Caenorhabditis elegans: one gene and its partners. The protein of the gene in region 2 purifies or fractionates together with the protein of the main gene of each other region. This does not show direct contact. Each region holds a gene or a part of one and is shown on either strand. Other genes may lie near its edges.

Region 1 (6,366 bases), on a different chromosome or scaffold from region 2:
GCAAAATGTCAGTAGGTTTCGTTGCCATGTTGGCGGAGGAAAGTGACAATTTTGTCACTTTCCAGGCCAGTTTCCAACCAAATCAGCTTTCCGTGTCGTCAGCAGACGCCCGAGAGAGTACGAGTTTGAGGAGAGACGCAGCGAATTTGGCTGTACGAATGTTTGTGTTTGGTGCATATGATTGATAACTGATAGCATTCTTTGATTGGGGGAGCAGTATGAAGAAGAAAATGTCAAGGTTTATGTGATGTCACCAGTGAGTTGTAGAAAAGGTTACTAATTGTATTTTGATTTTTTATAGTATGTATTTGAATAATTTGATTTTTGGTTTTCAGATGGGAACATGAATCGAGTGTGTCTTTGAATGAATATAGGACAAATATGTACATATGTCTGACCTCATGCCTACACGCGTGCCTACATCCAAAGTACATGTTTTAGAGCAAATAGGCAGTAGGCAGGCAGGCATAAGGTAATCACGTTGCCCGGTCTCAAAACGACATGTTTTCGTCAAAAAAGTGTGCGTCTTCAAACAGTACTGCAATTTAAATTTTTGCTGTGCAATTTCCTTCCAATTTTCATAGAGTTTATTAATTCGCTTGGAAAACTTTAAAAAGTTGATTAAAGAAAAGGGACAATACAATTTTGAGATTACATTACCCTCTAAAGGCGCACATCTTTGTTATTTAACAAAACTGTGTCGTGGCGAGACTTATTTTTAGCCCAAAAAGTACATATGTAATTTTATTTCGAAATAAAGAGAATGTTCTTGATCGAGTTTAGAACTAATACAATATCTCGTCGTCAATTTTATTTAATTTTTCCAATTTGCTCGTCGAATGGTGTGCCACGTCTACATCTTGCGTACTTTCTCGGGTACCGTAATACAATAAAATCCAGAAAAATTATTTATTTCAGACCATATACACCGCAAAAGCACAATGAACAGATAAAGTAATATTTGCTTCAGCACATTTTCCACTTCTCCAAATCACATATTTTCCATCGGAAGTCTTTTCAGCATTGTATGTGTAAAACCTTAAATTTATAGAATTTTTGAAACTACTGTAAACATTAATTTAATCGGATCACCTATTGCAATATCGATAATCGGTGGGCCTTTTTGAGATAACACTGTCACGATCAGCTTTATCACATTCTATATCACATGCGATTTTTCCGTTAGAATCTGAATTTTTCTTGCGATTTCAAAAGTTTATTCAAATAAAAAGACGACCTTTCTCACAAACTGCAGGTTTAAATTCTTCGCCGGTTTTTTGAAGAGAGCAGTTGGCGTTTTCACATTTTAAAATCCGATTTTCTGAGAAATTTTTAATGTCAATTCAAAAAAATTTAATCTTTTAAAAATTACCCCATTGATAAAGAGAGTTTATAGTGTTTAGAAAAATTAAAAGCGACAATAAATAGTAGATGCGATTCATTAAAGATTGAATTAAAATCTGAATGGATGTTGCATGTAGATTCAAGTATTAGATAAAGCTGAAATCCGGTTCTGAAACTCTCCGCTTCATTATTCCTCTCTGCTTGCCTACGCACACTTTTATAGGTACACAACGGCGCACTACTATTCGCGACCGAGTGGTTCAGTGGTAAAGCGCGCCGTCTTCAAACAACAGACGCGGGTTCAACTCCTCAGCGGTGATCGATGACTTGTGCAGTGGCCGAGGCGATCGGATTGTGATGTCGCCTGAAAAGGCGGGACCCAACGTCGCGCCTTTCGCCAGAAGATGGAAATATGCGCAACGTCTGAGCTGATTTCTTTTTTTTTTCTCAATGAGACCTGGGTTTCTTCAAAGGAACAATCGGGGATAACTGAGGTTTATGAGAAAAATATGGATTAGTTGAATACTGAAAATATATAATCAAGAGATGAAGGAGATTTCGGGTGCAATTAATTTATGCCTTGAGTTGTCCACAGTCAGCGATCATGCAGTCCTTGACTGGCTTTCCGGATTGGGATCCGTTGGATTCGACAGCCTTCACGACGTCCAATCCTTCGACGACACGTCCGAAAACGACGTGCTTTCCGTCGAGCCACTCGGTCTTGACGGTGCAGAGGAAGAATTGAGATCCGTTGGTGTTTGGTCCAGCATTAGCCTGAAATGTTGAAAATATTACTTTCGAGACAGACAAAAATTCTGATATTTTTTGAGACTGATACATTCAGCTGCTCTTTCTCATAAATCATTCAATTTCTCCTAACAACGGCTCAGCACTCCATCCTACACACAACGTGCTGTGAGATATGTCTGCGTCTCTCACAGATACGACAATTTCCGGAAAAGCAACATTTAGAAATCTTCAGTTTTCCCTCTTTTCGGAGAACAAACAGTGATATTTTTCCCAAATTGAGCAGAAAAAAACATTTTCTCGAACTTCAAACAGATTCAGCTGACGATTTGCTTACCATGGAGAGGACTCCTGGTCCGGTGTGCTTCTCCTTGAAGTTCTCGTCTGGGAACTTCTCTCCGTAGATGGATTCTCCTCCAGTTCCGTTTCCGCGGGTGAAGTCTCCTCCCTGGATCATGAAGTTCGGGATGATGCGATGAAACTTGGATCCCTTGAAGTGGAGTGGCTTTCCAGACTTTCCGATTCCATTTTCTCCGGTGCAGAGAGCGCGGAAATTACCGGCGGTCTTTGGGACAACGTCATCGTAAAGCTGTAAAAAATTTATTTATTGAAGATGAAAATAGCCAAAATTTCACAAACCTCCATGACGATACGTCCGGAAGCCTTACCACCGATGGTGATGTCGAAAAAGACCTTTGAGCGGCTCATTGTTGAGGCAAGAATAGGGAAATTACTGAAAAATCATAAAAATTACATAATTTAAACGAAAATCGATAAAAAATCTGAATAAAAAACAGTGAATTCGCATGAAAATTCAAAAAATGGGACCGAAATGGAGAGCGGCAGAGAAATTTCGATTTGTGGGCGGGGTCAGAATGTTCGCTCCGTTGATAATTTGTGAGACCGCGAAGTTTGAATAAGGTTTTCTTTCATCAGCAGAGCGTGCTTACATTCTTCTTTTTGGTGGTAGTTTAAATTTGAGTTTTTTAACCAATCAAAAATTAACAGTTCTTCGCGGTATTTTTACCTTCTCCTTAACAAAAAATAATCTGCAGTTTTGAAAACTGAAATCAACAACAGAATTTATCAACAACAAATTCAACAAAGCTTGGAGCTAATCTTCCAAAAGATCAATGAGCTTCTGAAGCAACGCATTGTAGGTTATATGATCGAGAGATTTATAATTTTCGTGATGCTTCAACGCAGTAACATCTTCGCTGGTCTCCAATTGCGAAAGGCATGCATTTTGAAGCCTTGAGAGTCTGTAGACTTCGGCGAACTTCAGCTTGTCGATCAAGTGGGTCTTTTGGTCCAAAATCAAAAACGTTTCAGCCTTTTCCAGAACTCTTGGCACCGCGAATCTATCGCTCAGCTTGAGCAAGTGAGACACGTTGGAACCTGAAAATCCGTTAATAATTCCAAGCCTCAAATAAAAAAAAGAACTTACTATTAATGAGCATGTGAGTGGGGTAGATCACATTGAGCAAATCGATAAACTCAGAGTGGGTCACATCATCGATTTTGATCTCAGCCTGTGTCTTTTCGGCGAAATTCGAATAGAACATTTTTTGGAAGAATTGCGAGCTCGTTGCGAGCACTTGCTTGCCAACATGGACATGTTTTCCTTCAAGCACCAGCACAACATCGGTAAGATGTTCCTTGGGTTGATCGAAAGTCTCGATAATCCTCTCATGAATTCCGGCAATCTTGTTGACAGTAATTTGGACTTCAAGAACGGCATGCTTATCGAGCACAAATCGATTATCGTAGCAGATGGCTTCCTCCCAATTTTTAAAATTGTTGACCACCACAATCTTGTTCAAGTCGTCGAACTTTTGCTGAAACTCCATCGAAAACGCGTCATCATCCTCGTTTGAATTGAGTCTCAGAAGTGAAAAACGAATTGACGCATCGCAGGACCACAAGTTGCTGCGCAGTTCCTCGTTGCATTTCAGGTGAATTCCGAGATGTTTAGCATTGTTCGTAGCGTCGGAAGTGCTTGTGAATGCTCCAAGAATCCTTAAAAGATAATATTTTAAATAATTTAGAACATTTTTTGTTTCATTAAAATTCACTAACCATTCTACGTGTCCAATTTGCACTGGTTTGTGCTCCGTCGCCTTCGCCAAGCCAGAAAAATTTTGAATCTCAAAACGAATTGATCCTTTATTGTCTTTTCCAGACATTTTATCTTGTGATAAATTTAATTTGAACAATGAAGAAGAATTTGAAACAAACAATTTAAGCTGAGCAATGCTCTCACCTACAGTACACTAAATGGCTTCGAGACCAGTCAAAATTTATAAAGTTTATTGGTCTATTTCTAGGACTTTCACATTAACCATTTTTAGCACATCACGATGTATTTTGTGCAGATTTTATTTTGTCCTTGTACGAAAAGATTATTTTTTAGCGGATAAGCAAAGCTAATCTTGACGAACCGCTTCGCAGATACCCGTCACATGCAGAGCTTCATATTTAGCTCAATCGATCTCGAAAGCATTCAACAAAATGAAAAACTGTTGGATTAATTTGTGATCTATTTAGCAATTTAAAATGTTCTCAATGTTTCTCAATGTTAAATCATCTCGATATTTCTCCTTCTTTTCGTGAAGACCGTGGTGATGATCGAACTGATATCAATGACCGGTTTTTCAATGTAATCTTTTATTGCCTACAAAAATTGTTATCAATTTCGGCGCCGTTCTGTTGTTTTGTGTACGATCATTTGAAAACACAGGCGCACGGTGAAAGTGTTGACAAAAGGCGGGAAACACAGCGAAAGTGTCGTCAGATATGGCGCATGTCGTATGATTGGGTGTCGGGTACGCAGACACTTTTGCGGACTTTGTTGTTTACGTCGGAAAATTCTAGAAGCGAACGGCTCATTTCTTCTCTCTTTCGTCGCCTAATTTGTTGATTTTGTCAGAATTTTTATAGTTTCGCTTATTAAAATGAATTAAAATCAATTGAAAATTATTTAAGAACTTTTTTGATGTGCAACTGTCGTTTAATCCTTGTTGAATCACGTCTTTCGGCAGATTTTAGGCCCAACAGGAAAATTAATTTAGTTGGGCCTAAAATTTTCTGTTTTAGTGCGCTAATTCACTCCATTTCAGTATATAGCTCATCCGTGTGCTTCTTCCTTGTATCTTATGGTGCTTTGTTTATATTTTTAACTTTGATTGATTCCCGCTCTATTACCGCAGAGCGTGTTTGCCGCACCTCTGTAGATATACCTATCTCATACATATTTCTCAACTATAACTCAAGCATTTTAGTGATTACCCTACCTGAAAATGAGCCGCCCAAGAGTCTTCTTCGACATCACCATCGCCGGAAAACCAACCGGACGTATCGTTATGGAGGTAAACAAAACACTGATCTTTTTTCATGAAATTAAATCTTATTTTCAGCTCTACAACGATATTGTTCCAAAAACCGCTGAGAACTTCCGTGCTCTTTGCACTGGTGAGAAGGGAGTCGGAAAGTCCGGAAAGCCACTCCACTTCAAGGGATCCAAGTTCCATCGTATCATCCCAGAATTCATGATCCAGGGAGGAGACTTCACCCGCGGGAACGGAACTGGAGGAGAATCCATCTACGGAGAGAAGTTCCCAGACGAGAACTTCAAGGAGAAGCACACCGGACCAGGAGTCCTTTCCATGGTAAGTTATGTTGCCTAGCCAGATTGAAAGACAGCATAAACTGATAGAAAAGAAGCATTATCTAGTTTCTTAACTGTTATCCACTGGCTGATAAGTTTCATTGTTTTTCTTCAGGCTAACGCTGGACCAAACACCAACGGATCTCAATTCTTCCTCTGCACCGTCAAGACTGCCTGGCTCGACGGAAAGCACGTCGTTTTCGGACGTGTCGTCGAAGGATTGGACATCGTCAGCAAGGTCGAGGGCAACGGAAGCAGCTCCGGAACTCCAAAGTCCGAGTGCCTCATCGCCGACTGCGGACAGCTCTAAATTTGTTCTCCGTGAGAACTTTTCTTCTTTTCAATCACCCCATCCAACCCTGTTTATTGCTTCACTTTTTCATCTTGATCATCAATAAATTGCTCGAAAAGAATATAGTTGTTCAGTTACATGGGTCGTACTCGAGGAAGCCTTCGTGAATTGTTCTCAACAGCTTGGAGAGAACTGTAACATTGTAGAAGCGATTGAAAGCGTCGATTTCCGTCATTTTGTTCCAATCTCTGCGCATTCTATCCTGAATTTCAGACAACCGTTCGAACTCTGTTGACTCGTGAAGAGTAAACACATA
Region 2 (6,473 bases):
TTTTGGTTTTGGAGATTGTGTCAAAATATTGTATTTTTCCTATTAGTCTTGCACCCCCATTGCTCCAAAGTGGCAGCTCTTATTTTGGATCTATCAAAAATTGTTCAATAACAAAAATATAAAGAATAATGTATCTGACACCTATATTTACTGTTCCACAATGTTTTAAAAAAAACCAGAGACAACCGAGATAAAAACAGTCAAAGTTGAGCAAATGTTGAGCAATCGGTGGTGATACTTATTTAACCTTTTAGTCCAAATTTTCTTTCAGATTTTCAAGCCCAACTATGGCATCTAATGAGTCTACACCTACAAATGCAAAAGTCTTCAGCTGCATCTACTTCGTCCTCTTCTAGTTCGTCAACGTCCTCTGAAAATCTGAAGAAATCTCCATCATCTGTACAAAATACCTCTGTATTCTCAATAGACAATATTCTAAACTCTCAAAAAGTTCCAAAACTAGAATTGGAAAACGATGAAGATGTATCTTCATCTCCGTCTCCAACATGTTCTACCACTGGATATACATTGGATTCACTTCAAAATTTGGATAGAAGAAGCTTGAATAAAAAAGGGTTAGTGAAGTAATTGAAACGGAAGAAGACTCCCGTATAACTTTTTTTCAGACCATCCTCTCATAACAGATGTGTATGTGACAAATGTGGGAAAAGCTACGCAACAACTTCCAATCTCAGTCGACACAAGCAGGTAGGTAAAACAGTGTTTTTCTGACAGCTATGACATAACATATTGCTTCCTTCGTGTTCCTGGATTGAGAATTCTTTTGTTTTGAAAGTAACAATTTCAGACGCACAGAGCTTTGGATAGTCCACATGCCAAACAATGCCCTCATTGTGATCGAGTCTACGTCAGTATGCCTGCACTAAGGTAAGAGCTTTACTTTTCAAAAAGTATTATTGTATTTTATAATGAGAAACGTGTAAAACTGAGGAATTCGAGTCAATAACTTTCAGAAGTGAAGTTTTTGAATTTCTTAGAAAAAATTCTAAATCTGGTTATTACGCAGGCGCAAAATATTGTCATTTTTGAAAAATACGGTACCCGGTCTCGACACGAAAAAATTTGGTTAAATGCAAAAAGGTGTCCCTTTAAAAGAGCATCAACGAGAGAGTTTGAAAAATACAGTACTCTCAAAAAATTGTCGTGTAAAGACCAGGTACAGTACTTTGGGCGCAAAATTGCAATATTTCGCGTATAGGTAATACGTTTTCACACCAGAGTTTATTTGAAATATCGAGCTAACTCAGTTCAAAGAATAGAGAATCATTACTTCCAAATAATATCCAGAATGTAATTGAAACCACGTTTGTAAGGTTAATCTCCTCAAGCTTTCACTTCGTATTATTTAATCACCAACAATTCGCACCTGCCTTATTCTCATCAGAAGACAATCTTCCGATTGCGCAATCACCACCTGTACCTGTATTTCTTTGCGTCAACACACATTGTACACTATTGTAGTTAGGCGGATAATAGAAATTATATAATACATGGTAATAATAAGAATTCGATGGAATTAGTAGTGAAACTAGCAACCAGAAAGCTGGGGCTAAGTGTTCACAATCTAGTAGAGACTTAGGATTGGACGTTAACTTTTTCTCCTAGTTTTACAAGTTAAACTGAATTTCAGCATGCACATTTTAACACACAACGCTTCTCATGAATGTAATGTTTGCGGGAAACGATTTTCGAGACTTTGGCTGCTCCAGGGACATCTTCGTTCTCACACAGGTCTTCGGCCTTTCTCTTGTGCTCATTGTGGAAAATCATTTGCTGATCGGAGCAACTTACGAGCGCACATGCTAACTCATACAGGTATTTACGCATATATTTTCACACCTAACAGTTCTTCAATATTTGTTGTTCCAGGTGACAAACGATTCGAATGTGATAAATGTGGTCGTCGATTTGCCCTGCGAGCTTATTTAAATCGTCATTTGGAAACGTGCAAATGACATCCATGTTCAACCAGACCTCAAGCTCTTCTAGTCATTTGCAAATCGTCTAGTCTCATATTGTAAAATGCTTATTTGCCTACTTACAAGCTTTATTACAATACAATAAATAATTTGGACAAAAATTCTACACAAAAACATGGAAATCATTATGAGTTGTATGTTGGAACCGATGAAATTTGGAGAAGCGAATTGAATTTTCTAGAAGTGCGTGGCTTCCAGATCGATTACAGTACACTTGATAATTTGGACATATAAAAAAATGAATAGGAAAATTTCACGTTATGATTACCAGAACCGGTTGAGAATGTAGGGAATACGTTGGAAATTACATGTGGCGGGTGTTTCCCATGTTAAGTCCTGAAGCAGTTGCCCCTTTGTTGCTGCCCATTTGAAGACCAATCACGTTATGTCCAGCTTTCAATTGCTCATCGGTCCATTCACGACGATCTCCTTGAGCTTCCTTCGGTCCGAGACCAGATCGACCGAAGTTCTTCTCAGACTTTCGTGCCAAAGAAGCGAGACAGATGAGGACAGCATTTGGGTCCTGTCCTTCGTAGAGATCAACAGTCTGAAAACAATTGATGTCATAATGTGTTTAGTGAAAGGACAAACCTGGAAGAGTTCCGACTTTTGCACATACTCCTCAGCAAACTTCAGGAAGAAAGAGATGTTCTCCATTTTCTTGAATGCCATGGCAGATGTGTTGACCTTCTTGACGCTTCCTGGTTTCAAAGAATTGGCAAGAGTGCAGAGAAGACTTCCATCTTGAAAAACCTTGACCAAGTTGTCAGCGTCTCCTTGGGTGTCGAAAGATTGGCCAGTGACGTTCTGAAAAATGTTTCAAATCGTGAATCGAAGAAGGAGCATAACTTATTTGTATGATTTTCTTCGTTTGCAATGTAAACATATGACTTTGCCAAGAATCAATAAACGTTTGAAAAGTTTCACAAAATTACCTGAACCCATTGAAGAATTTCTCCGGCAAGATTCTTATCGTATTTCTCGTAGATTTTCTGCTGGGCCTCCAATGCAATTCCAGACTTTTCAGCGCGATCCGAAGAAGCGAAAGCGGACATTTTCTAGAACGAATAAGTTTGAAAGAAAAAAAGCGTATAGTTAACGACGAGAAAAAATATTTATAAACAAAAGAGGTTCTTCCACTCTCCGCTAACCAAAAATGGTGAAATTCTTCTGACTCATCGCAAAGTTTTGGTTCTCCGCCTACGTCTTGCGTTTTTGATAAGGAACATTTGATTGAACGGTGTTTGATAAAAAAGAATTGGAAGAGTTTAATCGAAAATAGCCCAAAAATAACAATTTAAGAGTGCTCTCGGGAGAAAACTGCCGGTTTGAATGAAGATATGAGAAATGTGCTCAGGAGCGCTCCTAAAATTCAGGCGGTCTTTTGTAGTTAAAGGAACATTCAAGAGGCAACAGTACCGGGTCCCATAGCGAAACAAAAGTTTGTGGTGATCGCTAGATTTTTGTGTTTGATTTTGAAAATACTGTTCTTTTTCTCCAACATTAAAAGAAGATGTTTTAAATAAAATTCAGCAAATTATTAATATTTCATTGTAAAAATAGATTTTTAGAACTTTCTCGAGCTCGAGGCACTCAAAATAAAGTTACTTTGGTTCTATGTCGCAATCTAAAAAGAGCGATAAAAAAATGAAAGCTACATAAGCATGGAAAAATTTTTCAAAAAGAGATTTTGCAGCTCAAATAAGAAAACTACGATCTAATATCCTGGTTTATAAAAAACATAAAACTAATGAAAGAAAACGAAAACTACTTCTTGAAAGAAATATTACCGGTACAGAGAGTGTAGATAGTTAGAGAGTGACAGACATCCGGGACCCAATGGGGCGGGCGCGCGGAAGAGACGATTTGTGTCGATTTACGAAATGATGACAACGAGGAAAATTTCGTAAATCGGCACAAATCGTCTCTTCCGCGCGTCCCGCCCCATTGGGTCCCGGATGTCTGTCACTCTCTAACTATCTACACTCTCTGTACCGGTAATAGGACACTTTGCAAACATGCATACAAACACGCCAATGACCCTTTTCTAATTAAAAACGCAAAACCACTTTTCAAGAGTCGACCGATCGGAAAAGGTGGCGATCGACAACACACTCCTCACAACATGATGACGAAAACCTTGAAAAGGAATAGAAAAAAACAAGGACGAATGGTGAGCGGCTCGTTTAGGTTGAATGCATTTGAAAAATATGAAAACGAGAGTCGATATGGGAATTCTCAATAAAACATTTGAAAGTCCGAATAGGAGAGGTTCACAAACCAAATGAGGGGAGAAACGAACCGTCTGTTGGTTTTTTTTGTTTCGAACACACAGTTGTGTTTGTCCTTTGCATTAGCTGGTATGACGAGAACTTTGAACTTTGGCGTTGAATAATTGCTACTGCAACACGTATTGTACTGGTGTATTTTAATCGCACAATTACTCTGAAACATTTTTTATTCTTAGAAAACAAATAAATAGAAATCGAAGTACAAAAAATTGGGATTTTCAGGAATGTGCAAGCTTTTTCAGTTCTTTCGCTTTTTTGTTGCAGGTCTCTCAAAAACTGGTCTGGATCCTCCGGCTCTTTTCGTGGAGAATTGAGAATTCAACTGATTCGTTGATGCCCAAACACCTTGATGATCTGTTGTATCTTCTTCTGTCAAGTGCGTATACTTGGTTCGAGATGCTTTTCCAAAGTTTTTGACCTGAAATAAATAATTTAGTTCAATTATCACTATAATAAGTTACGAGTATTTACCTGCATAACTTTCGGCAGAATAGTTTTATCAAATTGATCATCGTTGGTAGCTTCGGCAAAGTTTCTCTTGAGTACTTCATCTTCTTCATCCAAGAAGAAAGCTCCACGATGGAAATATTTTTGAAGGAACTTGTATTTTCCTTTGTCCTGTTTGTTAGTGATAACCTTTGGATTTAAACGAAGATATTTGAGTCGTTCTTCCTCGGACATTGCGTGAATCTTGTCAAGTTCTGCCTTCTCGCGTGCGGCTTCTTCACGTTCGTCACGGTTTCTCTGCAAAAAAAAATTGGATATCGGATATTATAGTGAGAATTTTTTTGAGAAATTTCTATGTCAATTTATTAAAAAACTCAAAAAAAAAACTTCGAAGATCTACATTCAAAATTTTGCAGCAAAAATTTACCTTCAATCGTTTCATTTCTCTGAGCTTCCACGCCTCATATGCCATATTTTCAGTTTCATCGTCGGTTAGAACAGATGACAAATCAACACGATCTTCTGTTTTTCTTTTCTCAGCAGCTTCTTCCTCTTGAAGAACCTTTTCAACTAATTTTGCACTTTCTCTCTTCCGTTCTTCAGCTCTTTTTTCGTCTTCGATCTTTTTCAGAATTTCTTTTTCTTTCTCCTTCTCGGCTTCTTGCAAAGTGATACGATCCTTCTTTCTTGTGAAAATAGGCTTCAATCTTGGAACTGGATCGTCATCTTCATCTGAATCTTCCTCTTCACTACTTTCTTCTTCTTCCTCCTCTTCAACATCATCTTCTTCAAGTTCTTCTTTAATTTCTCGTTTTATTTCTTCCTCTCTTTTAATAGCTCTATCTCTGAGCATTTGACGTCTTCTTTCAAAATCTTCTTCATCTGATTCAGCACTGTCTTCTTGTTCTTCATCTTTTTCTCTGTTATTTTCATGTAATTCCAATCTTCTCATTCTGGCTCTTTCTCTTCTCTCTTCTTGTTTCTCTTCGTCTTCTTCAGATTCCTGTTCATTTTCAGATGATTCGTCCTCTACTTTTCCAAGAACTTCTGGCTTCTCCACCTGTCGTCGTCTACCATAATCTTCGTGTCTTCTGTGGCGTCTTCTATCTTCTTCATCACTACTTTCACGACGTCTACGTCTTCTTCGATCATCATCTCGATCTGTCTCTCGGTCTGATTCACTGCTGTCACTGTCGTAGTTACGAGCATATTCTGGTCTGAAAATCAATGTTTTAAAGACTAATTCAACCATTAAACGAAAAAAAACTTACGCCTTTCCAGCCACATATCTTGAAACTTTCACTTTCTGCATAACAGTTTGTCCTTTCTCATTTTTGATTGGAATGGCTCCAAGAGTCGGAAGACGCGAATGTCCGAAACTTCGATTATCGCTTTCGCGTTGTTCAAATCCAGGTACATAATCTCCCATTCTGAAAGTTATTTTTAAAATTAACCCTTTTTAATTTCGGCAAAAAATAGTCAGAAACAATAAAGAGTAAATATGTAAAATTTTTAATTGAATTTTTCGAAAAAAATAATAAGCATTAAATTGCTCGTAAGTTATAATGCATAAAGAGTACCTCACGTGGTGTATGCAGACCCAACAGCACATCTTACGACAGTCTCGTTTACGAAAATATTTTCAAATATCAATTTTGGCCAAATTTTCTTGCTAAACGCTCATTTTTTTCTTTTTTTTTTACTCAAAACGTTTTTCAGAATGTTCCGTAAACCA
Region 3 (9,787 bases), on a different chromosome or scaffold from region 2:
ATTTTACACTTTTCCCTGCGCTGCGGAACTGGTTTTAAAATTTAAACTTTTCTGTTCGGATTCCAAGTTTCGATAAGATTTCAACATTTTAATGTTAAAACAAATTTCGCAACATTATAATGATGCTCACGTGTGAGATCACAGTTGCCGCCTTCTGTTCCCTCTGTGTGTGAGAGAATTCAAAGATTTTGTGTAATTTTGTTATTTGCGTCAGGCAGTTCAGTTGTCGAAAAGCTTTTAAATTTTTTTTCTAACATTTTTCGCCAGAAATTATCCGCAAATTGCCTGAAAATCGATTTAGAAATTAAATTAATTTTAATTTTCGCTCTAAAAATCTTTCCAATAAGGATTAACCAAGTGCGCTCCACCGTTAATTTTCATCGGGTCTCGCCACGAAATCAACATTTTTGAATTCAAATCCGCTGAACACTTTTTTGTCATCTTTTTTTTGTTTCTCCGTCAATTTTCGCAATTTAAACGCTTTTTTTTTTCATTTTTTAGCGGGAAATTTATTCGAAAATTGTTCTTGTCTGCGGAAATCATTCACTTTCCCCATTTTCCCCTTTATTTTGCTAGTTCCTCCCGTTCTCTCTGCTTTTTGTCGAGTTTTTCATGAAATCTTCGCAGATTGCTAAAAAAATTGCACTTTTTTATTTTATTCATCATTGAAATCCATTGAATATGTTCAGCTTTCGTCACGTCTCACTCATTTCCGGTGTCTCCTCAAATTGTTTTTTTTTAGTTTCTGTTTCGAAACCTCCACTTTTTCTGTTCGGGTCCCATGGCTATTGCGAAATACTAGAAATCCCCCTAATTTTCAAGGACCGACGATTCAGAAAGAAGGCGCAGCAGCGGCAGTGACGAAGGCGACGGCCCATTGTGTCAATCGATGGGGAAAACGAAAAAAAAAAACGAAACGGACAGGCGGCGCGCAGCGCGGGCGCTCCGCTTCTTCACCGCTCTCTGGGTCACATTTGAATGAATCAGTCGCGTTTGGGCGCAACATCGGGACGTTTTCTGTTCGTTCGGTCTATTTTCCCCCGTTCTGTGATCGCTTTCATGTCTGAAAAATATATGATTCATCACTTTTGTTCTGTATTGTTTTAGATTCCAGAATTTTCATGTGTCATCATCCATTTCTCGTTGTCGACCTTATTTTTCTCCATTTGAATTTTTCCTCTATTGACTGGGCACACCAACAGCCGGATGGACGGGGACACTCTTGAGAAGTGGGGTCGCGGCGGCGGTTGTGTAGTGTAGTTGAGGAGGACACTGCAGCAGTGCCGGAAGATGCGACGATCAACGACTCCGTGTGTCGCACATTACAACATCTGGCACTTCGACATATTCCTCAATTGATTCTTCTATCCTCTCTCGTTTTGAGAAACCATTTGACTGGCCTTCGTCGTCTGACGAACTGAGCCCGGCGACGACAATCAATACATGTGTCTGTCTCCATGAGAAGTGTGTGAGTGACACATCGTTCAAACACAAGATACGCAGTCGTACTGTCCTTGAACAATTCTCACAGTCGTTCGTTTTTTCATAATTTTGTAGCTAATCATCAGTTTTCCAAATATTTCGGCTGCTTATTGGGAGACCATTTAAAGGGGAAGTAGAGTTTGTGGCTATTTTAATTAAATCGACTAAAACTGGTCCATTATCCAAAAATGTTTATGGCCGGTCAAAATTTCGAAAAAAAGAGCCAAATTTTGCTAAAATCTGAATTTTCTCAAACTTTTCTTTGTCACAGCCGCTGGATTTTAGTTTTTCGGAAATTATCACCCTTTGATCCTTAATTTGGTAATTTATCTCGCGGAAATTCGTTGATTGAGACAACTTTTAGGCCGATAGGCATACAATTTTTATCATTTTTGGATGCCCATCGGCTCAAAAAGTGTCTCAATCAACGAATTTCCGCGAGATAAATTACCAAAATAAGGATTAAAGGGTGATAATCTCAGAAAAACTAAAATCCAGCGGCTGTGACAAAGAAAAGTGTGCGAAATTTCAGATTTTAGCAATAGTTGGCCATTTTTTCGAATTTTGGCCGGCCATGAAAAATTTTTGGAAATTTTTTGTGAAGTCTCATTATGAAATTCGGTGATTTTGGACCAGTTTTTGTCTATTTAAGCAAAATACTACAAACTCTACTCCCCTTTTAAATTAAATCGTCCGAGTTTTCTTGGACTATTTAATATTTTTGCATACGAAAAACACTGTCTTGAAATACACTGTCAAATTATTATACTGAGCGACTAGAAAAGATTCTAAAAATAATTCTCAAGATGACTAATTCATTTTTTTATTTCTGAAATGAGCGTGTCTTATTGTTTCGCAATTGCTAATGACTTTGACTCCTCCCACGTCGTTGGCGTTTTTGTTCGTTCCTCGATCAATTGGTGGCTCCCTCACAGTCAATTTGCCCTTTCTCTACGCCCACGCAAACCATCTGAACACTTCTATGCTAATAATGCTCATTCCGACTTGAATTCAAGGAAAATGATATGTTTTTTTTCTCACTGAACTTTCACCCGATGTTGAAATAACCCGAAAGTAGAGAATATGTCGGGGGGGGGGGGGGGGGTAGTAGATGGGCGGTGTAGTTGTCTGCGCGTACGCTAAGTGGAGATTATACGCTTCGACTGTCTCGTAGCACCGAGTTCCTTTCGCTAATTACTCTCATCAACTATTGTTTCCACTGTGTGTGTGTCCTCCTCCGGGTATGTCCTTTTCGTTTGCCCCTTGTTCAAAGCCGAAATCGATGTTGTTTTCAATATTTTTAACGTCTGGAAACAATTCAAAAATTGTTCCAAACCCTCTCCGTCATTCTCGTACCGCCATGCGCTGACTCATACACCGTCGTCGTCCTCCTCGTTGTTGTGTACAACACAAAAACGGGTGGTTTTCTAATCTTTCTCCTTCCCAGTTGATACCATAGTGTATATAACGTACTCCTCGATGCTGAATGATGATTCATACGATCAATAGCAGTGCATTCCTACTTTTTTCTAATTTTGTCAGTACTTTCTAGAAACTGAAGCCCGGGAGAAAGTGCAAACGGATTCACCACTAGGTAGTCCGTATCTGTTTTTTTTTGGTATTTCGGGCAGAGCAAGTAAGGTCGGGGGACAATGGTGTGTGTGTTGCACATGGCGAATGTTTGCTCGGTTCTCGCTATTTTCTCTCTTCACTCTCTTCTCTACCAGCTCTTCAGATCGTTCACTCTCTCTCTCCGGGAGGGGACGGAAAAGATGACCATTCGGGCTGGGTGCTGCTGCTGCTGTTGCTGCCCGTTTCATTTTCTCTCCGCTCCCTCTCCTCTACTTGTCACTATCTCGCTCTATCTCTTCGTCTCTTCATTTTCCTCGTGTCCCTCGTCCTCGTCTATCTAAGCGGACGCGCTCGCACAGGCAAGCACTCTGACTGGCGGTTGTGTTGTTGGGGCTGGGGGTTAGGCCGAAGGGACGGCCCCGTCTCTTTTTTTTTGCGTCTTTCTCATCCTGCTTCTGTGCCAATCACAATGGACTTTCTTGGCTCTTGTTCTCTCTCTCTCTCTGTTTCCATCACTTTACCAATTTACCTCACACTTATGACCCTTATGACTCTTATCTGGGTTACACTTTTTCTTTGTGTTGAGCTTCTTCACTATCGTTTTTCCCTTCTCGTGATTCGATTATTGATTGATTAAAATCATTTTTTCTTGCAGGAAACTCAACTTGATTCTATTTCCCCACCACAAACCAACAACAACATCTCAAAATGGTGAGTTTGAGATTTTAATTCGCTTCAATATTTTTAAATTGAAAGAAATTTGGAATGTTATGTTTGGCGTGTTTTTTTTTCATTGAATTTCCAAAATTTCACACTAAAATGGAATGGTTTTCTCTTCTTTTTGCCTAACCTAACCTAACCTATGTGTGCCTGTTTTCTAGAGTTCCGGTGTCATGGTCGACCCAGATGTGCAGACATCTTTCCAAAAGCTCTCCGAGGGACGCAAGGAGTACCGCTACATCATTTTCAAGATCGACGTGAGTTTTTAAAAAATAAAATCTGAATCAGATCAATTTAAAAAAATTTCGTGCCACTTTTTGTTTTTTTTGTTGAAAAATTTGAAAAATCCTCAAATTAATTGTTTTAGATGAACATTATTGATTTCCCTATTAAATTGCAACATTTTCCAGGAGAACAAGGTGATCGTGGAAGCCGCGGTGACTCAGGATCAGCTCGGCATCACTGGAGACGACTATGATGACTCTTCCAAGGCCGCTTTCGACAAATTCGTCGAGGACGTGAAGTCTCGAACCGATAATCTGACCGATTGCCGCTACGCCGTTTTCGACTTCAAGTTCACGTGCAGTCGTGTTGGAGCCGGCACGAGCAAGATGGACAAGATCATCTTCCTCCAGATGTAAGCGCTTGATCCTATTGGTGAATTATTGTACCATCTAATTTTTTTTCCAGCTGCCCAGATGGTGCTTCTATCAAGAAAAAGATGGTGTACGCTTCGTCCGCCGCCGCCATCAAGACTTCTCTCGGAACCGGCAAAATCCTTCAGTTCCAGGTGAGAAATCTCGATAATTTTTACAATTAGAAAAAAAAAATCAAATTATTAAAATTTCAGGTGTCTGACGAGAGCGAGATGAGCCACAAGGAACTCCTCAACAAGTTGGGCGAGAAATACGGAGATCACTAGATACACGGGTCTCTTCCGAAGTCGTCGTCGCCGTCACATCCTCGATTATTCTCGTCTCTGTCTGTCGCATTTTCTCCATTGCTTGATGATTTCTGATCGTTTTCACGTGTGCTCTTTGAATGTGCTAGTGCGTTGTTGTGGTGCTTTTTTCTTACCAACCTCACTACTTGTTCATTTTTTTTGGTGTCCTCAAAGAATCATCCGTTGAAAACATGACTGCGGCGATGTGTTTCGATGATGTTTCTTAAGCGTCTTCTTCACATTTTCACCTCTTAACATTGCTAATTTATCCTCTATTTTTATCTGTTTTTTTCCTGATTGACGATTGTTTTTTTCCTGGGGGCAAGTGATTGTGTGTGCCCACTAATTTAATACAATGTGCCGGGTAACCTTCCGTACTATGAAGAAGTTGAGACATCCCCTCAGATTCTCAGTATCTTTATTGTTTAGTGAAATGCGTGGTAAATCCCTTCTCATTTACGATTATATTCTCTCTCTCTTGTAAAGCTTTCTATATTTATATAGTGTACTTTCCCCCACTGGAACTCTCAATCTCCATCTCCTCACCATTCTTTTTTTTTCAAATCTTCTATTGCGTATTCATTTCCCTTCTTACTTTTTTCCCACCCTGCCCGATCCCCTTGAAGAATCACCCACCAAACCGTTCATGTGCTGTGCTTTTTAAGATTATCACAATGAAATCAAGTTTGGAGTTTCTAACAATTGTTTTAACACGCGTGGAAAATTTTGAAAGGAAACAAAAATTGACATAAAAACCAGAAAAATATTACAAACACCTTTGAGTACAGGCTTCCGGAGTCAAAGTTGATCCATCCTGCAAGAACGCCTACGATCTTCTCCACAACAAGCATCAGCACAGCTACATCATCTTCAAGGTGAGTTATTCTGCGAAAAAAAAAATGCGTACTGCACAACACATTTGACGCGCAAAATATCTCGTAGCGAAAACTACAGTAATTCTTTAAATGAGTACTGTAGCTCTTGTGTCGATTTACGGGCTCAATTATTGCAATTTTCTTTATAAATGGTTTCCGTGAATCGACACTAGCGCTACAGTAGTCATTTAAAGGATTACTGCAGTTTTCGCTACGAGATATTTGATGTATTTTGCGCGTCAAATATGTTGTGCAGTACGCATTTTCAGAGTTTTCTGTTCCCGTAATAATTAAATAATTTTCTAAATTTGATTTTTTAAAAATTTAAAAAATAAATAAATCGAAAAAAAATAAATCAAAAAATAATCAGATTGACAAAAATGACACCGCCATCGTCGTCGAGAAGGTCGGAGAGAAGAATGCTCCGTACGCCGAGTTCGTTGAGGAGATGAAGAAGCTTGTTGAGGACGGAAAGGAGTGCAGGTAAGCCTAAGCCTGAGACTAGGCCTGAGCCTAAACCTGAGCATAAGCCTAAGCCTAAGAATAAGCCTAAGCCTAACACTAAGTCTTAGTCTGAGCCTAAATGTCGCGTGTATTCTACGCGAAAAGTTGTGTTTTTGCGCCAAAATACGGTGCTAGGTCTCGACACGACTAATTTTTACTAGTTAAATGAATGCAGAGAAAAGAAGGTGTGCGTCTTTAAATAGTACTGTAATTTCAAAATTATTGTTTCCATGGAATGTTTTATTATCGAAAAAAATTCACATAAATATTAAGAAACTGTGAAACATTAATGAAAATTTGGCAGCAATGGAATTTTGAAACTACATTACTCTTTAAAGGCACATATGATTTTGAATTTAACAAAAAAGTTTCGTGTCGAGACCAGTTGGTGCAAAAAAACCGCAAAATTTCTTGTCTGGATAATTATCAAACAACAAAACTCGTCGGAAATCTCGATTCAATTCATCCTTTTTTGCAGATATGCTGCCGTCGACGTCGAGGTTACTGTCCAAAGACAGGGAGCCGAGGGAACCAGCACACTCAATAAGGTCATCTTCGTTCAATAGTGAGTTTCAACATTGAAATATTACACATACACGTGGTGCCAGGCTGTCCCATTGCGGTTTGATCTAGAAAAAATGCGCGATTTTTTTCCCAAAGAAAATTTGACGTCAGCACGTTCTTAACCATGAGAAATCAGTTGAGAACTCTGCGTCTCTACTCCGGCTTTTTTTGTAGATCTACGTAGATCAAGCCGGAATGCTCGAAATTGTCCGCATTTTTGCGTTAAAAAAACGGTAACACTATAATTTCGCAGCAACGAATGTTTTAAATTACTGTACTCTTTAAAGGCGCATACCTGTTTGAATTTAACAAAAATTTGTCGTGTCGAGACCAGATAGCGTAAAATTTCGCGTCTGGAAAATCTAGAAAATCGTCCAAACAAAAAACCAAGAAAGTTGATAAAAATGAACGAATTTACTGAAATTCTCGTTGGAAAAGTCGGCCATCAACTAGGAAGCCTCGGCCACCAAAAAGTCGGCCATAAACTAGAAAAATTCGGCCACCAAAAAACCGGCCATCAACTAGGAAACCTCGGCCATCAACTAGAAAACTCGGCCATCAACTAGAAAACCTGGGCCATCAAAAAGTCGGCCATCAACAAGGAAAAGTCGGTCATAAACTAGAGAAACTCGGCCATCAACTAGGAAAACTCGGCCATCAACTAGAAATACTCGACCAGCAACTAGAAAAACTCGGCTATCAACTAGGAAAACTCGGCCACCAAAAAATCGGCCATCAACAAGAAAAAGTGGGCCATCAACTAGAAATCCTCGGCCACCAAAAAGTCGCCCATCAACTAGGAAAACACGGCCATCAACTAGAAAACTCGACCATCAACTAGAAAACCTCGGCCATCAAAAAGTCGGCCATTAACTAGAAAAAGTCGGCCACCAAAAAGTCGGCCACCAACTAAAAAACCTCGGCTATCAACTAGGAAAACTCGGCCACCAAAAAGTCGGCCATCAACTAGAAAAACTCGACCATCAAAATGTCGGCCATCAACTAGAAAACCTCGGTCATCAACTAGAAAACCTCGGCCATCAACTAGGAAACCTCGGCCATCAACTAGAAAAACTCGGCCACCAAAATGTCGGCCATTAACAAGAATCTCTTTAAAAAAATTTCCATGTATTTCCACATTCCACTTCCCAAACTCCTATTTTCAGCTGCCCAGACAACGCCCCAGTCCGCAGACGTATGCTCTACGCCTCCTCGGTCCGTGCTCTCAAGGCGTCCCTCGGACTCGAGTCCCTCTTCCAAGTACAGGCCTCCGAGATGTCGGACCTCGACGAGAAGAGCGTGAAGAGCGACCTGATGTCCAACCAAAGAATCTAAGCCTGTCCAATTGAATCCCAATCACAAATTACAATTTCTTTCTGGTACTACTAGTCTCTCGGACCATCCAAGCCCGTCAAAAATGTGCCTTTAACTTTTTTTTTCTTGTTAAATTATGACTTTTCTTGTCTGTAATTCTGATTTCCCATTTTCTCTGGAATTTTTAAAAAAATATTTTTCTTTTAATAAATAAATCCGTTCCTTCAGAACATGTCAGTTGTTGTTTTCCATGACGTCCAGACGACAAAAAACAATAAAATCAATTACCCATTTTTTCCAGAGCCCCCAAGAGCCCTCAGATGTTATAGAGCACAACACACCCCCCGAGAGCATCTCTTTACTTTTGACCTGATGCCACTCGACTTGTGCTCACCGGCTCTCGGAGCACAAGCAGGAGCACAAGTTATGCTACTTTTCTTCGAATTTTGTTTGTTTGTTTCGAAACTTGAAACGAACAGCACGAAACATTCTTTTCTTTGGATAATTTTTAAAAATCGATTTTTTTTCGAAATCCAACAGAGTTGGCCCACGGGGTTCTGGCCTTCCTCATTGAATTTTTCGCGCTCCATTGACAATCGCCAGCCAAACAACGCCTGGGGAAAGTCGTGTACTCCACACGGACAAATGCATTTAGAAGTAAAATTTCTCACGACGCGACACGCAACGCGCCGTAAATCTACCCCAGATATGGCCGAGCCAAAATGGCCTAGTTCGGCAAATTCTTCCATTTCAATTTATTAGGGAAGCCAGAAATCCGTGAGTTGGCTTAGTTTTGTTCAAAAATCAGTTTTCGTAGTGTTCTGAAAACGGAAAAAAACATCGCGTTCCATTTGTTTCCCGTTGTTTTTAGATTCGTTTTTTTTCGCAAAAAATAATGGGAATCCTTTTCAAATAAATGTTCTCCAGATGCGGTTTTTCTGCATCATTTTTTCTAAGAAGAACACATAAATCTGATGTTTTTTCTGAGTAGATTTCAAGGTTTTTTTTTGCCATTTTGTGGGTTTACTTTTTTCTCTTGTCATCCTCCAGCCAAAGCCTAAGCCTGAGCCTAAGCCTAAGCCTAATTCTAAGCCTAAGCCTAAGCTTGAGCCTATGCCTAAGCCTAAGCCTAAGCCTAAGCCTAAGTATAAGCCTATGCTTAAGCAGAAGCCCAAGTCTAAACCTATGCCTAAGACCTAGCCTATGGCTAAGCCCAGGCCTAAGCCTAAGCCTAACACTAATTTCTTCCTGACTATTTCATCAAAGAAAACTATTGAAAAATGGTTGGCCGTGTAATTCCACGACCATGAATTTCGAGAACTACTGTACTTTTTTTCAGAGATAGTTGTTACGTGCTCTATCCGTTCGGCTCTTCAGTAAACAATACATATCGCAATATCCGTCATATTTTCAATAGTTCGGCTCTTTTCTGTGTACCGACATGCCTTCTTCTTATCCGATTGAAAGCTCAGACACTCTCGCAACACACACACACACAACCATTTCAATACGGATTTTTGATTTCTTAACATTTTTTTTTCTCGCTATCTTATATTACTTCCCTAGTATTTTCTGGCACTGGGCCAAGTGATGCTCGTATGATGAGCACAACATAGTTTTCATCCGTCCCCCCCCCCCATTGAGTTTTATTTTATCTTTTCGTTTTTCGTTTTCCATGAGCCCCATTCCCAACAACAACAGCTGACTTTTCGTCAAAGTCTCTCCGGATCTAGTGATCTCTAGGGCTTTGTTGAGGTGAAAGGTCATTGAAAGTTAAATTTTGTGGGAGAAAAAAAGGGTCTTGTGACGAAAA
Region 4 (7,417 bases), 6.4 Mb from region 2:
ATACTTCATGTAGAGATAATAAGTGGACACTGCATCCGAAACCGAGTAATTGGCCAGCTGTTGAGGCTGCTCTCGAGCCATTTTGCACATCAGTTCCGGCTCCACCTCAACTGGATCATATCTCAGCTTTGCCTTCGTCACTGCCTTCAGATTCTGACTTCCAACCGGTAGATATGAGTCACGTTTGACCCATCGGAAAGCGTCCATATGAATACAATTTCGTGATTTGTACTCATCGGCGGAATCCTTAGAAAATCCGATTTCCCTTTCCATATTGAATCCGCGGATCTTGGCACGAGCTTCTACGAATGGCCAATCGAAGAAATCTCCATTGTAGGTGACAACAATATTTGGACGAACCTGCAAGAAAATGATTCTAATCAAATTCAGTTTAAAAGTAGAATTTACCTGCAAAAAATGATCGAAAAATTTCCGAATCAGAGCAGCTTCGTCCTTCTCATTCCAGACTGTGAATTCTCCTATGTACTCGGCTTTCGGTGTGTATTCGAACGCATTAATATCAGCCGACACGATTTCTCGGTTGATAATCAAAAATCCACGTCCATCAACCATATATGATATCATCATAATTTCATCGCTCTCACGATCCGGAAATTTCAACGGAAGTTTCGTTGTTTCAATGTCAAAGGCGAGAACTTTCGGCTTTGCGTGGAACAAGGGCAAATCTTTTCGCTTTATTGTTGGAACACGGTTCGGGCCAATTCCTTTCACATCGTACCTGGAAATTTATAAATTTAGAATTTAAAAAAGAAGAAAAGGATGATTCCAACCATAATCCGACGAAGATCTTTTCATCGATGGAAACTCTCATGTGAAAAGGCACGTCGTATTCTCTGATATCAACAATTTGATTCAAGATGTCACCATTCAACTGTTGATCCTTACTATCTCCTCCTTTTCCACTCAGATTCCTCGCCAAATAGTCAGCGTACGCCGACTCTTTTTTGATGCGATCTGTGTTTTTCCGCACCAGCGGCATTAATTCCTTACGGATTTTTATCAATTCCACGGTGCTGGTGAATGAGAGTTTGATATATGTCTTCTTCAACCCAGAAAGATGATCTTTCAAATCTAAATCCTCCCGATCCATATGTTCAACTGCTGTCTGGGCTCCGTACTTCTTGGACAGATAACTGGATACTTGGAATTCAAATCCATCCAACGTGGCAATATAGAAATACGGTCGAAATGGGTAACTGATTTTGAAGCGTTCGTCCATATCACTGATGAAGAAATAGTCAACGACCGAAATAATAACTTTGGTTTGCTCGTCGACAAGCTCCGAAGGTTGGATGTTTATCAGAAATCCTTTTTTCTCCTGTAGTCCTGTGTATCTAGAGAAACCAAGCTTCGCATCAATCTCATCATTTGATCTGATCAGGGCAAGCCGCTCTTTGTAGTTTGAATCACTAAAAAAAGAAGATTTTATACTTTCTCCATTCTTGAAACAAACTTTTCGACCGCCTGTGCAAGAATGTCATCCTTGGAGCTCATTGAGCTTGCTGGCGATGACCGAACTTGTCTGAAAATACTGAAAATCAAATAACTAAAGAAAAAACTAGATAAAATGGCAAATTTAAGTTAATTTCATGGGAAATCGAGTTTAAAATGCAAGATTTCGCGCGCTCGGCCAGAGGACGAGTTGGGTGGAATTCTAGGCCACCAGATCATAAAATGGAGGGAAGGAGCAGAATTTGAATTTTAAAGCAATACAATTGAATTTCCGAGAGGCACCACGGAGGCACCACGTTTTCAAGATTTGTTCAAAAACAAGATCTACGAAAACAAGATCCACCAAAACAAAATCTACCTTTTCAAGATCTACCAAAACAAGATCTACGTTTTCAGGATCTGGCACCGTGCCAACTGCGGTTTTCTCTACGCGTGCGTACGCGTGTTGCGTAAATTCTAGAAGAAAATTTCAAAAAATATTCGTTTGAACGCTAAACAACACGCGAACGTAACATCGGAGCATCGTTGTTTCGTTTTCTTCGAGAAAACCGCAGTTGGCACGGTGCCAGATCCTGAAAACGTAGATCTTGTTTTGGTGGATCTTGTTTTCGTAGATCTTGTTTTTGAACAGATCTTGAAAACGTGGTGCCTCGCACCACGGTATCAAGATCTGGTAAAATTCCGGATCTCCGTTTTCCGGATCTACCATTTCCGGATCTACGTTTTCCGGATCTGGCCAACTCTTAAAACGCTATTTTTCTCGGAGAAAAACGTGACAACGATGCTCCGTTGTTAAGCGTCGCGTGTTGTTAAGCGTTTCTTCTAGAAGAAATTTTCAAAAAACAACGTGCGTCGAGTGAATAAAAAAGCGTTTTGTGGGTTGGCACGGTGCTAGATTCGGAAAACGTAGATCCGGAAATCGTATTTCCGGAAAACGTAGATCCGGAATTTCACCAGATCTTGAAACCGTGGTGCCTCATTTCCGACAATATTATTTAGCTGACATTAGACAATTATTAAATTCAAATAAATATTTTTATTCTGTTAAAAATTACAACAATCATCTTACAAATACATATTTTTCACAATCTAAACAACTTCAGTATCCTTGACTCCATATTTCTTCAGTTTCTCGTATGCTTTCTTATGAATAACCGCGTCATCAGAAGTCACAACTGGCATTTTGAATGATTGTTTGAATGCATCAAGTGCTTCGGCTTTTTGTCCTAGTTGTTCGTACACTTCGCCAATGTAGTAGGTATTCGTACTGTAGAATCCGGGCTGAAAATTTGAATTTAACTATAATGATCTGAATTTTTCGTGGCACTATTTACTTCCCAAGTGGAGGAAAATGTTCAAAGTGTAAAAAAATTTGGTCGACAACTTTTCATTTTTGTATGTTTTTGATTGACTATGAGAGATTCACTAAAAGTGTTTGAATTCTGATATTTTTTTACCGAAATCTGTTCAGCCTTTAGGAAATAGTGTAGAGCCTCCTGATATGTGGATGCTGGTGGAGTTGCGAAAATAGCTTTGGCCACCATTCGAGTCGCGTAACCCATATTGGCGAAGGAAAAGTGCCAGACTCCTGAAATTTGAGGTTTTCTTTTTAATTCTCGAAGCGAAATGCAGAAATATCTAAAAAAAATAATGGTTAAGCACCGCCCGCCCCCGTTGATTGAACGGTGAGCTGTAGAGCTTTAATTCGGAATAAACACGGGGTGTCAGAAAGTCTCATTGCGGTTTGATCTACAAAAAATGCGGGAATTTTTTCCCAGAAAATTTGTGACGTAAGCACACTGTTAACCATGCGAAATCAGTTGAGATGTCTACGTCTCACCTCCCGCATGTTTCGTAGATCAAAGCGAAAAGGGACCGTCTGACTCCACGTGAATAAATTCTAACATGATTTTTCTTTTTTTTTCTCTGTTCAATCCGGAATCCCTTACCCAAAATATGCCACGTTGTTGGATCGTTCTCGAAAATCGATAACGCCTTCTCTAAATGTTTCCGCACTTGGAATGATTTTTCGATTCTCGATTTGTTTCCCTCGATCTCTCCAACGTAATCCAGTAGAATGGCATACCTAAAGATAGCCATGTGGCATAGAAAATGCTAAAACTCAGCCGCCAAAAAAGGCAGGTGCTCAGTTTTCGATTTCCACCCTCAGTCATAGTTTTTTTTTCTCGCAAAATTGTGTTGTTCTACCCGGAATAAATAGCGTTTTAACTCCAAATCGTACCATTTATGTGCTCCAAAGCATCCATTCTTTGGCTCATTGTCAAGAGCTTTTTTCACAATTCCATAGGCTTCCAAAATGAGCTCTTTTCGTTGATTTTGATCTTTTGAGAGTTTTCCTTTCTCACAAACCACACGTGCCAGACGCCATAGAAGCTCGGAGCAATTGGAATTTTCAAATCTTAAAAATTGGAAAGAAAAGTTAAAATGGACATTTCTAAAAGTTAATTGAAAATTCACTTTTTCAAAATATTATAACAATTATCGATTAGATAATTATCATAAAGTTCATCCGAATTTCGAACAATTAAATCGAAATTTTTCGGTTTTCCATCAATTAATTGTCCATTTCCTGAGTCCAAATTCTTGTTCTCTTCAGTTTTTCCAAAAAATGCGATTCCAAGCGAGGTTCCACCAGTGATTGCAATTAATTTCGGAAGTTTTGGAGAAGATGTCGGGCGGCGAGAGAAATTCGAAATAAAACGGAGATTGAATACTCGTTTGAACATTTTTTTTCTTCAGAGGCTGCAAAAATTAGACAATTTTAAATAAATTATAAATATTGAAACAAAAATATATTATTAATTTCGATGGCCTTTTTCCAAGTACATAGGTAATTTTTCAAAAAACTCATACTCAAAGACGCATTCACTGAATTATTCCAACCCCCTAATTCCGAATATCTTTAAATTTTTTAAACTAAAAAAGCCTTAAATTTATCGTTTTTTTTTTCGAAAATTCGGATTTTCATCGAGTTGTGATTTGGATATAATAAAATGTTCAATTGACACGGAAAAAACAATTTTCCAAATAATAACCAAAAAAAAAGTTTTTGAAAAAACATGACAGATGGTGAAAAATCCCGTAAATCGACACAGCACGGTGCGCCCCAATGAGACTGCCTCTGGCGCGTTAAGTTTTGGGTGCGAGATTTCAAGCTGAAATATTAAATCCGAGAAGTTTTTTTTTAATTTCACAAAGATATTCGGAAAGAGTCATACGCCAAAACCTTTTTCGAACAAAATGAAAATTTGAAAATTAATTTTGAACACTCGAAAGGGAAAAATTTTGCGTTCAAACTGGTTCCAGGCAAGTTTTAGAAAAATTCTCGTAGGCTACTGAGAACGCTATAATGTTGTCAGCATTTCACAGTTCAAAGTACAAGTGGTGTAAAGGTAAACACTGATAAGTGATAATGAGAGAAGAGAGAAAAAGTTCGGCCAAGCTTTATGAAAATCGATTTGAAAAAAGGGGTAAAAACAATGCATTAGGGAGATTCTAACTTTTAAAAAAGACGTCTAAAAATTGTTTAAGAAAATGAGGAAAAATCATAAATTTTACACGTAAAAAAGATAAGGGGCGGGGGTTTTAATCGAAAAAAAAAAGTTAGAAAAAGTTTAATTCATTCACAAAAATTCTCTTTTTTTGCTTTCTCAACAGCGTGTCGACGCTGGATGAATTCGCGAAAATTCGCATTAAATTCTTTAAAACTCGGATAGCTTTTCAGTTGAGCACGAATCCATTTTGAGACACGAGCAGACGAGGCTCCGCCCACAAGATTTCCAGTTTGACGTTCTAGGCGTTCATCGATCATTAGCATTGCTCCCCAGTCGTTTTTGTGCCGGAGACATCTGAAGATTTAATGAATTTTAGATTGTAGTGAAATTTGGCCAGATGGTTTTTCTACTGATTCCCTTATTTCACGTGATATTATAGATTTGATATTACGGGAACACTAAATCCTGAGAATGCGTATTTTACAACATATTTGACTCGCAAAATATCTCGCAGCGAAAATTACAGTATTTCTTTAAAAGTAGCGCTTATGCCGATTTACGGGCTCGATTTTATTTTCGAATTTGGACAGTGATATTCAATTTTCCTTCGTTGTTCGTATTGTTTAGTCATTTTTGTACTTAAAAAAATTTTATTCATTAACCAACTGTTTTAATAGAAAAAAACGTGTAATATTGCCTTCATTTTGATGAGGAAACTCCTATTTACAAACGTATTTTTACATTATTTCCCGTCTATTGCAGGTTTTCCAGGTGAAACCCGGCAATAGACGGAAAATAATGTAAAAATACGATTGTATGAGTTTCCTATAAGGCAATATTGGACGTTTTTCATTTAAATATTTTTTTTTAACACAAAAATGACAAAACAATACAGAAAAAAAAAGACAAATTAAATACTGCTGTCAAAATTCGATTAGGAAATTCGAAAATCGAGCCCGTAAATCGACACAAGCACTACGGTAGTCATTTAAAGGATTACTGTAGTCTTCGCTACGAGATATTTTGTGCGTCAAAAATGTTGCGCAAATTTCAGAATTATGTGTTACAGTAGAAAATTGCTGTGTTTTGAACATTTGTAGCATAGCATAACATTTTTTAAATAAAAAAAACGTAGTTTTTATTCCACGCGGCTTTGTATATATATTCACCTTCCCAAAGCCTGATTCAATGCTCGATAGGCCTGCGTGGTATACCACTCATCGCCAGTCAAAATCCCCTTTTCCTTGGAATTCTGATCATTATACAACTTTTTCGCATTCACTTGATCATCCATCGCATTTGGATACGGAATTCCGACAGAAATCACCACACGCGCACGATCATCGGCAAAATCAATGCCCTCGGAAACTTTTCCACGAAAAACGGCAAACATAAGAGATCCGTTGATGTTTGCACCGAATCTAGACGGATCGAAGATCGCCGCATCGAATTGATCCATTACTGATGTTAATTCTGAGGATCTTCGCGGCTCGTAGAGCACAACTTTTTTCATTTCGATTTGTCGCATTGTTGAATTACGGATCATACATTGTTTTAATTGATCTAGAACTCGATAGCTGGGGAGAAAACATAGAATTCCTGCTGGCACGTTACTGCATACATACCTGCAAAAAATGAGCTGATTTCTTAACATTCGAAAATTTTCCAACAATTGGAACATTTTTCAAGGCTTTTGTAACTTTTTATAAAAAATTAGACAAAAACTAAGTTTTCCGATTTGAATTTTCAGAAATTATATTTGTTTTAAACAAGTCTTGATTTAAATAACCTAAACAAAATTTGACATTTTTGTTGAAAATCTATTCATTTTTTTCAAGTCTCTCTGAAAGTAGAAAATTCGAAAAATAATCCGCCAACGTACTTGATAATTGCTCCAAGCTCGCAATAAAATGAAGATTCCGGATCTGACGTGTTGCGGTACGTGCACTGAATGCGATTTCCAAAGGGACCCTGGAATTTTTAAATCAATTAAATTAATAAGGCTTTCCTTTTTATTTTGGTAGTTTTTAGACCGTATTTTCGAAAATAAACCTTGTATGCTAGCCGGAGACTTATAGGACGAATGACATACTTTTTCAATGCTAGCATTAATGCTAAGTAAATTAACATAAATTTGCATCAAAAATTTTAAATCCTAATTCCTGCCTCATTTTGGTTTGATCTTCGAGAAATGAGAAGAGACGCAGACTTTTCAACTGATTTCGCATGATGAAGAGTGTGTTGACGTCACATTTTTCTGGGGTAAAATTCCCGCATGTTTTGTAGATCAGCCTGCAATGAGACTGTCTGACAACACGTGCCCTGTCATCTCTTTAAGAAATAAATTTCATTCGTTCGGTAATTCTCAGGGCACCACACGACGCTACCTAACCAAATGTTTTCCTTACAATTGGCAAAACCGCTGCGAA

The links.
Region 1: the proteins of cpn-1 (region 2) and cyn-3 fractionate together in Caenorhabditis elegans (co-fractionation; one large-scale study listed by BioGRID). This does not show direct contact.
Region 3: the proteins of cpn-1 (region 2) and unc-60 fractionate together in Caenorhabditis elegans (co-fractionation; one large-scale study listed by BioGRID). This does not show direct contact.
Region 4: the proteins of cpn-1 (region 2) and F33H2.6 fractionate together in Caenorhabditis elegans (co-fractionation; one large-scale study listed by BioGRID). This does not show direct contact.

The regions. Positions count from the first base shown.
Region 1 is NC_003283.11:15,186,385-15,192,750, reverse strand, and holds cyn-3 (Peptidyl-prolyl cis-trans isomerase 3), read right to left. Parts: upstream 2,825-6,366; 5' UTR 2,800-2,824; coding exon 2,731-2,799; intron 2,681-2,730; coding exon 2,429-2,680; intron 2,119-2,428; coding exon 1,918-2,118; 3' UTR 1,825-1,917; downstream 1-1,824. Other genes in the region: plc-2 (Phosphoinositide phospholipase C), read right to left, coding at 1-28; Y75B12B.11 (DUF7808 domain-containing protein), read right to left, coding at 915-1,038, 1,093-1,189, 1,238-1,321, 1,373-1,442; bath-36 (BTB and MATH domain-containing protein 36), read right to left, coding at 3,206-3,489, 3,539-4,110, 4,171-4,277; cyn-7 (Peptidyl-prolyl cis-trans isomerase 7), read left to right, coding at 5,391-5,459, 5,508-5,759, 5,874-6,068. UniProt on the Caenorhabditis elegans protein: Catalyzes the cis-trans isomerization of proline imidic peptide bonds in oligopeptides. Plays a role in protein folding, transport and assembly.
Region 2 is NC_003279.8:8,634,069-8,640,541, forward strand, and holds cpn-1 (Calponin-homology (CH) domain-containing protein), read right to left. Parts: upstream 3,059-6,473; 5' UTR 3,056-3,058; coding exon 2,936-3,055; intron 2,808-2,935; coding exon 2,592-2,807; intron 2,548-2,591; coding exon 2,305-2,547; 3' UTR 2,055-2,304; downstream 1-2,054. Other genes in the region: ces-1 (C2H2-type domain-containing protein), read left to right, coding at 272-575, 627-708, 809-888, 1,652-1,836, 1,891-1,976; mfap-1 (Microfibrillar-associated protein 1), read right to left, coding at 4,530-4,709, 4,763-5,035, 5,166-5,955, 6,010-6,167; mog-7 (GCF C-terminal domain-containing protein), read left to right, coding at 6,459-6,473.
Region 3 is NC_003283.11:1,471,377-1,481,163, forward strand, and holds unc-60 (Actin-depolymerizing factor 2), read left to right. Parts: upstream 1-3,709; 5' UTR 3,710-3,762; coding exon 3,763-3,765; intron 3,766-3,935; coding exon of another isoform or gene 3,936-4,031; intron 4,032-4,184; coding exon of another isoform or gene 4,185-4,411; intron 4,412-4,464; coding exon of another isoform or gene 4,465-4,564; intron 4,565-4,624; coding exon of another isoform or gene 4,625-4,696; exon of another isoform or gene 4,697-5,408; intron 5,409-5,505; coding exon 5,506-5,592; intron 5,593-5,962; coding exon 5,963-6,075; intron 6,076-6,574; coding exon 6,575-6,661; intron 6,662-7,826; coding exon 7,827-7,995; 3' UTR 7,996-8,200; downstream 8,201-9,787. Other genes in the region: F53E2.2 (Actin-depolymerizing factor 1, isoforms a/b), read left to right, coding at 3,763-3,765, 3,936-4,031, 4,185-4,411, 4,465-4,564, 4,625-4,696. UniProt on the Caenorhabditis elegans protein: Depolymerizes growing actin filaments in muscle cells; required for the assembly of actin filaments into the functional contractile myofilament lattice of muscle.
Region 4 is NC_003279.8:15,012,360-15,019,776, forward strand, and holds F33H2.6 (Regulator of microtubule dynamics protein 1), read right to left. Parts: upstream 4,237-7,417; 5' UTR 4,221-4,236; coding exon 3,952-4,220; intron 3,893-3,951; coding exon 3,716-3,892; intron 3,560-3,715; coding exon 3,423-3,559; intron 3,062-3,422; coding exon 2,931-3,061; intron 2,755-2,930; coding exon 2,563-2,754; 3' UTR 2,495-2,562; downstream 1-2,494. Other genes in the region: pole-1 (DNA polymerase epsilon catalytic subunit), read right to left, coding at 1-360, 409-739, 792-1,430, 1,475-1,515; dog-1 (Helicase ATP-binding domain-containing protein), read right to left, coding at 5,114-5,342, 6,158-6,613, 6,871-6,959, 7,397-7,417.